Caenorhabditis elegans: one gene and its partner. The protein of the gene in region 1 purifies or fractionates together with the protein of each later gene. This does not show direct contact. Each region holds a gene or a part of one and is shown in the gene's direction. Other genes may lie near its edges.

Region 1 (6,617 bases):
TTTCGAAGTCGATTCCCATCAGCAAGTTGATCAATATTCTTTCGTCGTCTGAGCTCAGTTTCTGCTGATCTCCCAATGCTTTTTCGATAGAGTTCGGAGATTTGATGAACATATATCGACAGATGAATGCAAGCTGACAAATATTTGTCAAATAGGCAATTATAAAAAGGACCAGGGAACGATCAGATGGGAACCTGAAAGGCGTTTATTGTTAGGAGAGTGTATATCTTAACTGAACTTATCCCCTTATTTGCACTTAATTGTTTGACAAGATAAGGAAATAAGTCCATAAATGTTACTCACTTTCTTTTCTTATTGAGACCAGCTAGCAATGATCCATCGTAGGTAAACGTCTTGAGAGCACTTCTGAAACCGATATTTTTTTTTTTTTGAATTTTTATTACCTATTCATATCAAGAACATTTCTCCATCTTGCCAATTTTCCGGTCTCATTTCTATTACATAGCAGACCGCCCAATCCATTGCCTATTCTGAAAAATTACCAAATTTTAGAATTGAATGTTTTCTGATTATTTACCTATTTGGATCCTTTTCGATTTTGATATTTTCTTCTACATTCCGAGCACTTTCTCTTGGAACAACTCTGCTCAATTTCCCGAGCATATCTTCTACAGTACTCTTTCTCTGTTCTGCTCCACAAACTACCAAATCTTCTCCACAAAGCAATGGAAATATGACATCTCCCAGGTGTCCAGTTACTTCTTTTAGAGTTTCTTCTCCGTTTTTATCATTATCAGATTTTCCTGAATCAGTGTTCCAAGGCAAAGTTGTAGTGGCGGCTGGTGATGTAGTTGCGATGGGACGGTGTCCACAGAAAAGAGCTCCATGAGTAGAATTTCTATTAGGGCTTCCTGATGAACATAGTTCGGAGCATAGTTGGCGTAGTTTTGGAATTATGGATGAATACGCCTGTATAATTTAATTTTTATAGGCAACAAAGGTTTTAAAATCTTACACATGGAGTGAGAGTTTCCACAGGACTCAATGGAATTGATGGAACTCGGAATGAGCAAATAATATCTTCAGCTTCGTTCATGTTTTCTGCATTGTGACCACAGCAAATGTCATCTGAAATATAATTCTAAATCAAAGTCTCAACGTTTTGTTCACCATCAAAAGCCATTTCTTGAAATCTTTTCGTCAAAAATTTGCTTTTTAGAAGCCTGGTTTGCTCGAAAACTACATTGAATCTGCTTCCGTCTGACAACTTTTGTGAATCTCCATTCAGTGTATAGTACTGTTTCAGGGTGGTTTCATCTGAAAATGGTAACAATTTGTTTAAAAAATCGAAGAAAAAAAACTTACCAACACTGTCCGAAAACTTGACAATATCAGTGACATGGCGAATAAACAGACGTCGATTGCAAATCAAAACTGGTGAAACTAATTTTTTCATAGCTGATGAGAATAGGTTCAAAGTTTCTTTTGTTGGCTTCTCCGAACATAAATAGGCGATGCATAAATTTCTTTGAAAAGCTCTTGCTCTCATGTCGTACAAATTAAAATAATATGCGGCCGCATATACACCCGTTTGATTGTTTTCCAACACAATCATTGTACCCGGAACAGTATCAGACGACATCAACCAGATTGCCATATCGTTTATGTCAACTCCGCGGACTGAAAATTAGCATTTATTCGAGAAAATTGTGTATAAATATTTACTTTTATCATCTGGCCGCTGAGAAACTACCGCTAGTGGTTTTGGTCCGATAACTTGGCAAAATTCGACAAGAGTCAGAAATGGATCAATTTTTGCGACGAATCTGTTGAATGGATCGACGACTTTGGATGGTCGGAGGAGAAAATCCTCGAATGAAATCATTTCTGAAATTAATACAATTTTAATTTCATAATAAAAAGACGAATTCAGCAGAAAACGGCTTAAAAAACAAAAGTGAAAATGTTTGCAAATTATGGAAGAGTTTCCTTCATTAAAACTTTTCAAGCATGCGCCTTTAAAGCTACAGTAACCAAAACCCTCTATAAAACTACTCATTAATCAATTTAAAAGTCAATTTACGTTCAAGTTAAATTAAATCAATATTTTCCAAGCGAAATTGTTTGCAAAAGAACAATGAAGTAACTTCCAGCAGTGTAAACATCGGAAAACCAGTCACTGCAGTCAGGAGATATTGTTCTGGTGGCCGTGGCCGAGGATTCTCCACACGGCTGAAATAACTGTAATTTGTTTCTGTAGTTTTTCTGGTTTTTAATCGTCAGTTTTGAACGTTTTCGCGCAGAAATTTGCATATTCGGAATTATTTAAGACATATTTTTGATATTTATAGTATACTCTGTCAAATATTCTATTTTTCGCGTGTTTGTTAACAACAATAGCCGAAGAAAATCATTTTCTGATTACAAAAAAAATGTGTCCATAATTTCCACAATTGTTCTGCTAAATAAAGACTGTTTTCTGATTTTCTAAATTCTATGTAAATCCAAGCGCTCAATATTTTAATGCTTCATTAATATTCATACCCGAGGTAATAAAACTAGCCTGCGGTTGACAGCTATAGACTTTTTTCCTGACTGCCTTGACCTAGATGACAGATGGTTATCACTTTGTCTTTGTTTTATTCACTTGATTCCACTCATTTTTCACCGAAAAAAGCCCTTTTTCTTTTTTCTCTCTTCACTTTTCCAAACCAGATTTCTTCGTTCTTCTTTCTCTTATAATGGTGTGATGACGTGTTCAACATCTCTATTTTCCCTCAAAAATCGATCGATCCTATTTGTTCTGCGTCTCACGACGACTGTATCTTCTTCTTCCCAAGATGCCGAATACTGGGTCTCTCCAAATCAAACACTATCTCTTCTCCCAGTTATCCTTCCCAATTGAAGTCGACGTCGCCTTTGCCGTTGTCTCTCACTTTTTTATTTCCCTGGAGAAATCTCTTAGTGCCGTTCAATTCCACGTATCATCCATGTTGCATAAGCAAATAAGCAAAAAATAAGCAATAAAAACTGATTTCCGTTTTATTGTGCTTTTTAATTATCTTACTCAGAAAACCTATAGAAAAAAATTTATTCGTTTTTTCAGAGAAACTCTCAATTTACCAAATGCTCAAATGGTTCCATCAATACACAAAACTTCAAACAGATATCGGACGATATATTTCTTCCTAATTTCTCTTTTAATCACTTCAACTTTTGCAGATCAGCAGGTATGGTTTAGCCTCAGAAATTCACATTAAAAAATCAATTTCAGGCATGGCCTCTTCCAGAAGAAGTGTCCGCATCCCAGCTTCACGAGATTCCAGTTCTTCATACCGCATTTGTTCAAATCGGTGAAGAGCTTCACTATCTCAATCATCCTATTCGACCCGAAAATGTGCATCAATTGCCAGTTTATGATTCAATTAAAGGAGTTTGTGAAGGAAATTGTCCGAAAGAAGCCAACAAGAACCATGCGACGAAAACATTCAACGTGTTGAAATTGTCTGGAAAAGGGAAACTTCCAATGGAGATGGATCCACCAATGATGGATTTTGGGCAAAAGTGAATAATTTTTAATTATACTCAAAAGATCGAACTTCATAACGAGACTTTGAAAAAATGCAATTTTTGGAATGTCTCGTTATGAAATTCGACATTTTGGGGCCATTTTAAGTATGATAACAAAAATTTTGATTAATTTAAAAAACCTTCCAAGTATGCATTTTTTTTCAGTTCTGTCGGTACCGCGCAGAAACGCAAAATCTACATTCGAAATATGAGAAATGAACAGATATTCCTCGATGCAGTTGTTGTCAACTCTATTGAATTTCAAGCTTCATATTTTGAGCAATATGTGAGTTTTCTCTACTCAAAAATCAATTATTTCTTGATAATTTCAGAAGCTTGAGCCACATGGTGTTACATCATTGGAAGTGGTCTTCCTACCACGAGAAATTGGAAAACGATCGACAATTGTTCATTTTTACACTTCTGTTGGAGTATTCACATACAAAATGCAGGGAAATTGTGATTCAAATCCATATCGTATATCACCATTTACTGGTTATCGTCTTCCGATGAATTCATCTATTTCAAAGCCAATTGTTATTTTCAATCCGTACGCGTATACAATGAGAATTACCGAGGTTTGTTTTTTAAATGAAAAATTTCACGGAGATGATAAAAATACATTCAAAGGACGTTGTTTAAATAAATATAAAAAAAAAATTTTGTATTTAAAATAGTTTTGAATCGAAAAAATACTAGTTTTTGTGAGAAAAATAGATACATTTTCATTTTTGTAACATTTCAAAACTTTCAAATGACCAATTTTCGAAAATCTTCAATTATTTCGCCTATATAATTGAATTTAATAATTATTTACTTCTAAATTAGTTTAATTTAACAAAATTTATAGATCGGAACATCTGGAGGAAATGCTCACATAGAACTTCCTCATGAAGTTGACAGTAAATTGGCTGAAGAACCACTACAATATTGGGATATTCGTCCATATCAATCCAAACAAATCGCTACGCTGGTCCTAGTTGGAGCAACTTCTGAAAATTCGACAGTATTTGTTCGAATTGGATCTGAAATTTATTTGAGCTCTGAGCATCGCAAACCGAATACGGATATCTATTTAACCGTACCAATTGAAGTTCTGAAACGTCGCGGAGTGTATGCAACAGATGAAATTTTGGATTTTGGACTTATTCGACAAGGGATGAAATCAGAGGCCAAAGTATTTTCTGTGGTTCAATATCAAATTGGAGGAAGGTTGGAATTCGAGACTCTATACGTAGAGAAAGGAGATCATACAGCAATTTATATGGAATTTGCTTCACATCCACCAATTATAGTATATCCACCAACAAAGGGAAGCGTCACATTGGGACCAAAAGCAGATCTTGTAAAAGTATATCTAGAAGGAAATCGAGTACAAATGTCACCTCAACAACAGATGAAACATATTAGTGGGCACATTATTGCAGTTTCTAGAGGTGGAAACTATAATGTTAGCATTCCGTATCGAGCCGATGTATTTCGTGGAGACCTTCTCCCGATTGGAAATGATTTATCGATTCAAGAAGATTTGAGACCACCTCATCAAAGAATTATTCGAATTGAAAATCAGTTGCCATTCGATGTGGCTATTTTCAATATTACATTGGCTCCAGAATTGGTCTCCCACTTTTCTGTAAGTTCTCATAATTTTTTTTTGGGAAATTTTTAAAGTTCAAATTCTCAAAACTGAATTATCCTAGTTATTATTTTCTCTTCTTTCAGGTTCGACTCATTGATCGCACTGCCCTCATCCGTTCCGGCCACATTTCACCAGTCTTTGTTCTGAAATACAATAAGAAACTACCACCAACATTCGATAACTCTACAATTTATCTACACACAAATGTTTCCACTTTTAATTTAAGCCTATCAACCTATACAGGAAGAATGAACGTTGAGTTGATATCTGTGGATAAAAATTCATTTGATTTCGGTTTTGTTGAAAGGAATGACACAAGGACAATTCGAGTAAGAAAAAATTAAAATAAAGTTATAACATTTCAATTTATAATTTCAGTTCGTGGTTTGGAATCACAATCGAGCTGAGATGCGTCTCAAAAATCTTGCTGTACCACATCGTTCGGCTTACCGACTCTACGAAGTTGGTGTCAAGTCGATCGGAAACTTTTCTGATGTTCGAAATGATGAACGTCTTGAATACGTTGAAGCCACCGATGTTGATATTCCACCAATGAAAGGAAAAATCTTTGATTTGGAGCTGAAAGTTCCATCGGATGGAGTTGTTCGAAACGGAAATATCATTTTCGAAACTGATTTAGAGAGTAAAATATTTGGAGTTACTTATCAAGTATCAACTGGATCACTACAGTCGATACCGGAAGAAATATGCTTCGGACAGACGTTCCCGTCGAAATTGGTTTATCGAACACTACAGGTAGGAAGATCCTAATAGTTGCTTCAATTTCTGAAATTGTTTAGGTATTCAACTCATTCGACGAAGATATGACCGTAACCCGTCTGACAACTCTCAATGAAGATCCACGATTCTTTTTCGAAGGATTCGATCCCAAGAATCCACCTGTGCTTCGTTCAGGACGACTCACTAATCTTGGACGTGTCATGTTCTCTCCATCAGCTCCATGTGAACATGATTACTGTTATCTGGGTCTCCCATTAGGAAGTTCCGATGGAGCGTGGTTTACGCATGGTCTCACACTACCATCTAATTTGCCAGAAATTGATTCTTATCTGTACAAACAGTTGAGAAAGAAATATGATGCATTGGTGAATAGTGGAAAACATCATATCAACACTACAATAATTTTGGATACTGATAAAGCAAAGAATATCAAGATCAAAACATCTGCTGAATTGGTGTGGCCACGACTTCTCACAAGAAATTCCATTCATTTCCCTCTAACAGCTCTTGGAAACTTCACCATCGTGAATCTAACACTAGCCAATCCAACAAATGTGCCAGTTGCAATTCAAGTAATTCCATTGGTTATCTACCCGGATGCAGAGTCTCTCGTCGAACTGATGCGTCCAAATTTGGTATCCGAACTGACAGATCATGTTGAAATGAACGAAACATTGATGTTTTCGTTGCGAGACACTGAATTGTT
Region 2 (6,617 bases), on another chromosome or scaffold:
TTTTGCGCTGTAAATAATGGCGGAAGGATAGCATCTGCCTTGTCGTGGATTAGACCTTGCCTGCATTTTATCTCGCGCACGCGAAACTTTTCAACAGCATTTGAATAAGATGAGTACTCGAGTTCCGAGAAGATGGATTCCTGGGGCAAATTTGGAGTTTTTTTCAAAATATTCCAGAGATTTCGATACTCCGCTTTTTTAAATCATTATAAAATTTGAAGATTTCAAACATGATTTTCTTCACAAAAAAATAACGTGAAGTAATTGAAAATACTTAAATACACCGTCTCTTGGTGAATAAAAAATATTTTTAATAATTAGGTAATATATTAGACTATAACACATGTATTTATTGTATTAATTATACAATTGTAAAATTTCCAAAATTTTTTCAATTGAAAATTTCAAAAAATTTGAAATATAAAGTTTTGTGTCATATTCATCAAATTCTCAAAATATTTCGAGCGTTTCAAAGAAATGTCTAACCACTTCATAGTTTTTGAAGTTTTTTGGTCAATCAACTTTTAATATCAGAAAGAAGCTTCTAGAAATCCTATCCATTTCTAGTATCCTCATACTAAATATATTACCATCCATGTTTACTTCATCTCTGTCCCCTTTCCCATATGTTGTTTTGTCCTCTAATCTATGATCTCTTCGTTTTGTTTGTTGTTGTTGTTGGTCGTTGAGCTCTTATTGTACTAGAACATTCCTCCCCTTTTTTCCATCAGTTCGCTTCACATTCGCTGTCGTATTGTGAATATTGTGCTAACGAAAATTTTACTAAAAGGAAAATGGATATTCTCTCTGATATTGCCAATGCCGTTCTTCCACAGGTAAATGCGTTTATATTTTGGGACATTTTAAGTGGATGTATCATATAAAAAATTAATATTCGAAAATAAGACAATTATAATATGAAAACTTTAAATTAACTCACTTTACAGGACGTTGTTTCCAAAGTAGAGTCGAAACGTGCTGTAGCGGTTCTCCGTGGAACTGCTGTCTTCGGAACTGTTTGGCTTACCCAGGTGAGAACTGGTTGAAAGATTTTTTTTTGGTATTTTTAAAGATAAAGCATCGCCAATGAGATCAGAGAGTTTTCCCCAAAAATTATATTCTGTAGAAATATGTCAATTTTCGCCTATCATATAAAACGCAAAAATCACACCATTTGAAATGGAAGTACAATTGCGCTCCACTGCCAATTGGTCTCGTTAGGTATTGGCGACAGAACTGTAAAATCAAACTTTTTTATTTATTTTTGCTCCAAACTTTCAGTAGTTGTTCAATTGCATTTTTAATTATTTTCAGGCCAAATTTTTTTTAAAATGAATATTGTAAAAACCTAAAAGCCACGAAAAAACTGCCCAATACCTAACGAGACCCATATTATTATATTATTATATTATTTCGCGTCGGAGCGCGGTTGCACTTCAACTTCAAAAGGCGAGAAATTTTGGAATGGCACTAGGCGAAAACTGACATTTTCCATTAAAATATAAAATTTAAATTTTCTTACAATGTGTTTAATAGGAAATTTCCACACCGGAGTCATTCCACCATTAAAATAAATTGGGAAAAATCAAATCCCTATTTATTACTCTAGACCGTTTCAGAAAGCCGAAGGTGAAGAGACCGAATTCGAAGGAGAGATCAAGGGATTGTCACCAGGACTTCATGGATTCCATATCCATCAATATGGAGACTCAACCGATGGATGTACGTCTGCTGGGCCACACTTCAATCCATGCAAAATGAATCATGGAGGAAGAGATGTAAGTGATTTCACAGGCTATTTGTTATCTCTAAATGACTATTTTCAGTCCGTGGTCCGCCACGTTGGTGACCTTGGAAACGTTGAAGCTGGCGCCGATGGAGTTGCGAAGATCAAGTTCTCCGATAAGGTGGTCAGCCTCTTCGGAGCGAACACTGTTATCGGACGTTCCATGGTTGTCCACGTCGATCGAGATGATCTTGGTAAGCTTTCGACAGAAGGTTCTGATAAATATCAAAACATTTCAGGCCAGGGAATCGACGACAAGGCCGAGGAGTCTTTGAAGACTGGAAACGCTGGCGCTCGCGCTGCTTGTGGAGTCATTGCTCTTGCCGCTCCTGCATAAATCTTATTGACTGGACTCTTTTTTTCTAATTTATAAGATTTTTGACATTTTCCATGAGAAACACAAATCCTACTAATGTACATAGACTTTCGCTGCTTGTAAATAAACGTTTTATTTAGCTTTGAATTTTTTTTTCGGCAGGACCAGCGATTTCATGTTCAGAAATACGTCTTAAACTCAATAATATAAAATTCAAATGCCTGATATTTGAAAATGGAAGAATACTTTTGAAAAGTTCGGCCACGGCCAGGTTGTGTACTCCTCGTGGAGAAGAGTGTTTTTTGTTGCAAAGGATTATACAGTTTTCGCATAAAATACTTGATTTTTCTTTTTTTTTTGGATTTTTTCTCGTATTTTGATTCGAATTTCCTATTTATCACGAGTTTATAAAAGGAAAATTAAATTTTTTTTTGTATAAAACTTTAAAAAACGAGAATTTTTCTATTTTCAACCGTAAATACATCAATTTTCACCAATTCAACTTCGAATAAGAAGTGAATTAACAATTTTAATGTAAATTGCAAAAAAAAATCAGCATAAATGATCAGAAAATGAGAATTCTACCCGAAAACTACAGTATTACTTCTCCACGGGGAGTACACAAGCTGCGTAAATCGACACACGGCCGCGTTAGTCGTTTACGTGTTTTACATTAATTTAAAACGTATTTTTCATGTTTAAATAAACTTTGGAAGCCATTAAAAGCGGAAAATTAACTATTTTTGGCTATCGTAATTTTGTAAAATAAAATATTTAGAAAAAAATAATGTGATTTTCGATCAGTTATCAGTGATAAGCAAAGCAATTATATAACTTCCCACGCTTTTCACTGCATATATATAAATATCAGAAGAGGGATTCCTAATTGTCAGTCTTAACCGGCAAAAGATTTCCTCTAGAGATTTACTCTGCGTCTCCGCGGTGTCTGCACTCTCTCCTCGTCTACCTTCTTTATCTTCCCTTTTTACAGGCCATCTTTTGATCGTTAAATCGATTTTTCTCTTGAGAAAATCCATTTTTAAATCATTTTCACGTGGACGCCATGCTTTTTTAATATAAAATATAAATGTCGTCAGATTACGCACATTCTACGCAATCACCGATCAAATTAAATTTCTCGTTAACGAGAAAATTTTTTACCTCTTCGTTTTTTATCTTTTTTATCTCTCTTTTGCGATCCCCGCGTGTTGAACTCCACGTTGAAAAAATAAAAATCAGATAGAACAAAAAATGACGATTGCAGAGAAAACGAGAAGATCGAAAAACGGATGGAATGATTTCGGCACCAGTTGAAATGTTCAACAAAGCGAGTTTTCTCACGAGACTCGTCGCCTCGTCTGTCCGAGTTTCAGAGGCTGCCGGGGGTCTTATTAAAGTGAGTTTTTTTTAAATTTTAAAATATAGAATCTACTCGAAAAACTGTTAAAAAAGACCTCTCGTCAGGCCGAAAAGCTTAAAAAAATCAATAATTTAAGTTTAAAAATGGAAAAAAATTGTTTCGTCTTTCAGAATGTCATGGCCGGCGGAGATCTCAAAATCATCGATAAATCGGAGCACGGATCCGGCTACGATCCACAAACGGAAGCAGATCGTCGGGCTCAATACTGCATAGTTCAGTCTCTGCAGAAGCATTTCAAGAATATTAATATTATCGGCGAAGAGGTAAAAAATTAGAAGCTCTCAAAAATTAATTTAGAAAAGCATAAAATTTAATTTTTTTTCAGGAAGACACAACTGCTTGCCCGGAAATCGAAATGGGATTCAGTGCGGACGTGCTCCAAATGGAACGCCTGATGAGCACGGAGCTCAAGAATATCCAGGAAAATGATGTTGTAGTCTGGGTGGATCCGTTGGATGGAACATCAGAAGTCGCGTTGGCAGTTAAGAATAAGAATATGGCATTGTTGGAGCAGGTCACTGTGTTGATTGGAATCGCGTATAAGGGACGACCGGTGGCTGGAATTATTCATCAACCATATCATGAGAAGCTTGGAAGGACGGTTTGGGCGATTCAAGGTTGTGGAGTTCATGGAGTTGTTCCGGCTACTGGTAATTATTGATTAAAATTTTAAAAAAATATATTAAAAATGAAAATTTTCGCGAAAAAGTGCGATTTCGTACTCAAAATTACTGCCTGGTCCTGGTCCTAGCAAGAGGAAAATATTCTTCTTTCTGGTCTTGAAACGACCAAGTACTGTAATTCCAAATTTTCAAAAAAATTGATTTTTCATAGTTTTTCGGCAAAATTATATTTATTCATTTAAAAACCTCAAAATTTAACTATAAGAACACATTAAATTTTAACAAATTATACTAAAAACTATGAAAAATTTCGAAAAATTGATACAAAACAGAAGTTTGAACCTACAGTACTCCTTAAAGTCGCATACCTTTTTGCGTTTACAAAAATTTGTAGTTTCGAGACCAGGTACCGTATTTTTTCGCGCAAAACTCGTAAAATGTAGCTTTTAATAATACCGAAAACATTTATCAAATAAAAAAAACCATTTTCCGTATTTGTCACCAAAAATTACCACTTTTCAGCTACAGTACCCAGGTGTTTTAGTTTTTTTTAAAGAAAAAATTACGAAAAACACTGGAATCGCGAGTAAAAAAAATTCCGCTCGAGACCGTAATTTTTGGGAAAAAATCGCAAAAAAAAAACAATTTTCGAATAAAATAAAATTGTGCAAAAAATTTCAAAAATGTTTAATCAATCAGTCATGAACCTTTAAAACTAGAGTACCCCCGATTTTTTCGCTGCTTTTTACAATTTTTCAATAAATTATATTTTCCAGGAAATGCTCAAAAAATCGTGGTGACAACTCGAAGCCATCTCAGCGAATCTGTCTCCAACGCCCTCGAAGCTCTGAAAACTCGAAATTTGGCGGATAGCGTTGAAAAAGTCGGTGGAGCCGGATTCAAGGTGCTCAAAGTTCTGGAAGGGTGTGCAGCGTATGTCTTTGCAAGTGCTGGTTGTAAGAAATGGGACACGTGTGCAGTTGAAGCCGTGTTGACTGCTGCTGGAGGAACTCTTACGGACATTTCGGGCCGTGATATTCGATATGAGCCCGGTGTGCAGCTTAATAATACGGGAGGAGTACTGGCGACGGCTTCATGGGTCAAGCATAAGGATTATATCGATACGATTCCACAAGAAATCAAGAATATGTTGCCGGAGATTTCATCGAAAAAGTGATCTGAAGCATTCCAAATTTAATTTTTTTCCTTTTTAATATCATTTTCTTTCATGTCTAAATATTTTTCTTTCTTTTTTTAGTGTTGTAAATGAAATTATGAATTATCAAATTTTTTTTTAAATTTTCGATTTTACGGAAAATCGATAAAAAAACATAATTATTTTCTTCGAAAAAAAAAATGAAAAAATGGCCGAAAAATCGAGATTTTTTTTTTTGAAATAAAATCGAAAATTTTTCGATTCTTCGGTTAATTTTTTTGTTTTTCGAATTTCTCTAAATAATTTTTTTTTGATTTAGCGGTATTTAAAAACAAGGATTTTTTTTGGGAAAAATAGGAGAACAACCAAAAAAAAAAAGTGTGATAAACTTGAAAACAACAACAAATAACAAAAGAAAAAACGACGCTGCTGCTTCACATTTCGGCATCTCCAACCATAATCTTCTGAGTCTGTGGCAGATATGATTCCTCCTCGTCGAGTCCAGCGGCTTTTGCTCGTCGGAAATCTCGTCGTCCGCGGGCGTCTCTGATAAGCTTGTGCTCCTTGGCGGCTCTGAAAATTGTTTAGTTTTGCTTTGGAATTTCCACAAAATGTTGTTTTTCCAAAACGAACATTAGTGAGAAAATACAGAAAATCACTTGATTTCTCTGAAAATAATATTATTTTCAGCAGCATAAATGCTATTTTCAGAGAAATCAAGTGATTTTCTTCATTTTGGCACTATTTTTCAGTGTAATTGGCCAAAAATTCTGAATTTTTTCTGCAAAAAACCCACGTGAAAATATGTCTTGGCACATTGCGATGCTTTGCGATTCTTCGTACTTCTGGATGGTTCTTATAGGTATCTCGAAGTTTTTCATTATAAGCGAAAGCTTGTTTCTCTCGTTTTGTGAGTGGTCCAAGCTTCTCCGCGGCATTCGCTTTCCAGACACGAATATTCATTTCGTTACTTCCAGATAGAACGAATTTCGAATCAGCAGACCAGAGTACGGAGAGGACTGAGGCCATTCGTTTTGTGTAGTAGACGTCTCTGAAATTGTAGAATTCGAATTAATTCTAATTTTGAAGTTTATATTTTAAAATTTTGGAGTGCTAGATTAGGGGTGGGCGGCAAACGATTTTTCCAGCAAATCACCAAATTGCCGGAATTGACTATTCCGGCAAATCGGCAAACTGGCAAATTGGTGGAATTGCACTTTTTTTTTTGGAAATTCCGGCAAAATCGGCAACTTGCCACAATTCAAAATTTCCGAGAAATCAGAAATCTGGTGAATTTCTGGCAGATCAGAAATCTG

What was found. The genes of interacting proteins can lie anywhere in the genome.
Region 2: the proteins of tmem-131 (region 1) and bpnt-1 fractionate together in Caenorhabditis elegans (co-fractionation; one large-scale study listed by BioGRID). This does not show direct contact.

What each region holds. Positions count from the first base shown.
Region 1 is NC_003281.10:4,994,612-5,001,228, reverse strand, and holds the start of tmem-131 (Transmembrane protein 131 homolog), read left to right. Parts: upstream 1-3,067; 5' UTR 3,068-3,095; coding exon 3,096-3,191; intron 3,192-3,235; coding exon 3,236-3,525; intron 3,526-3,696; coding exon 3,697-3,817; intron 3,818-3,863; coding exon 3,864-4,109; intron 4,110-4,381; coding exon 4,382-5,164; intron 5,165-5,253; coding exon 5,254-5,499; intron 5,500-5,548; coding exon 5,549-5,926; intron 5,927-5,970; coding exon 5,971-6,617. Other genes in the region: Guanine nucleotide exchange protein smcr-8, read right to left, coding at 1-194, 304-366, 405-491, 539-930, 977-1,089, 1,132-1,278, 1,327-1,641, 1,687-1,846. UniProt on the Caenorhabditis elegans protein: Collagen binding transmembrane protein involved in collagen secretion, probably by recruiting the ER-to-Golgi transport complex TRAPPIII. Required for normal development.
Region 2 is NC_003280.10:4,416,891-4,423,507, forward strand, and holds bpnt-1 (3'(2'),5'-bisphosphate nucleotidase 1), read left to right. Parts: upstream 1-3,365; 5' UTR 3,366-3,417; coding exon 3,418-3,498; intron 3,499-3,632; coding exon 3,633-3,785; intron 3,786-3,847; coding exon 3,848-4,172; intron 4,173-4,921; coding exon 4,922-5,322; 3' UTR 5,323-5,429; downstream 5,430-6,617. Other genes in the region: sod-5 (Superoxide dismutase [Cu-Zn]), read left to right, coding at 795-836, 948-1,031, 1,620-1,778, 1,827-1,980, 2,026-2,123; dcaf-13 (DDB1- and CUL4-associated factor 13), read right to left, coding at 5,736-5,874, 6,098-6,352.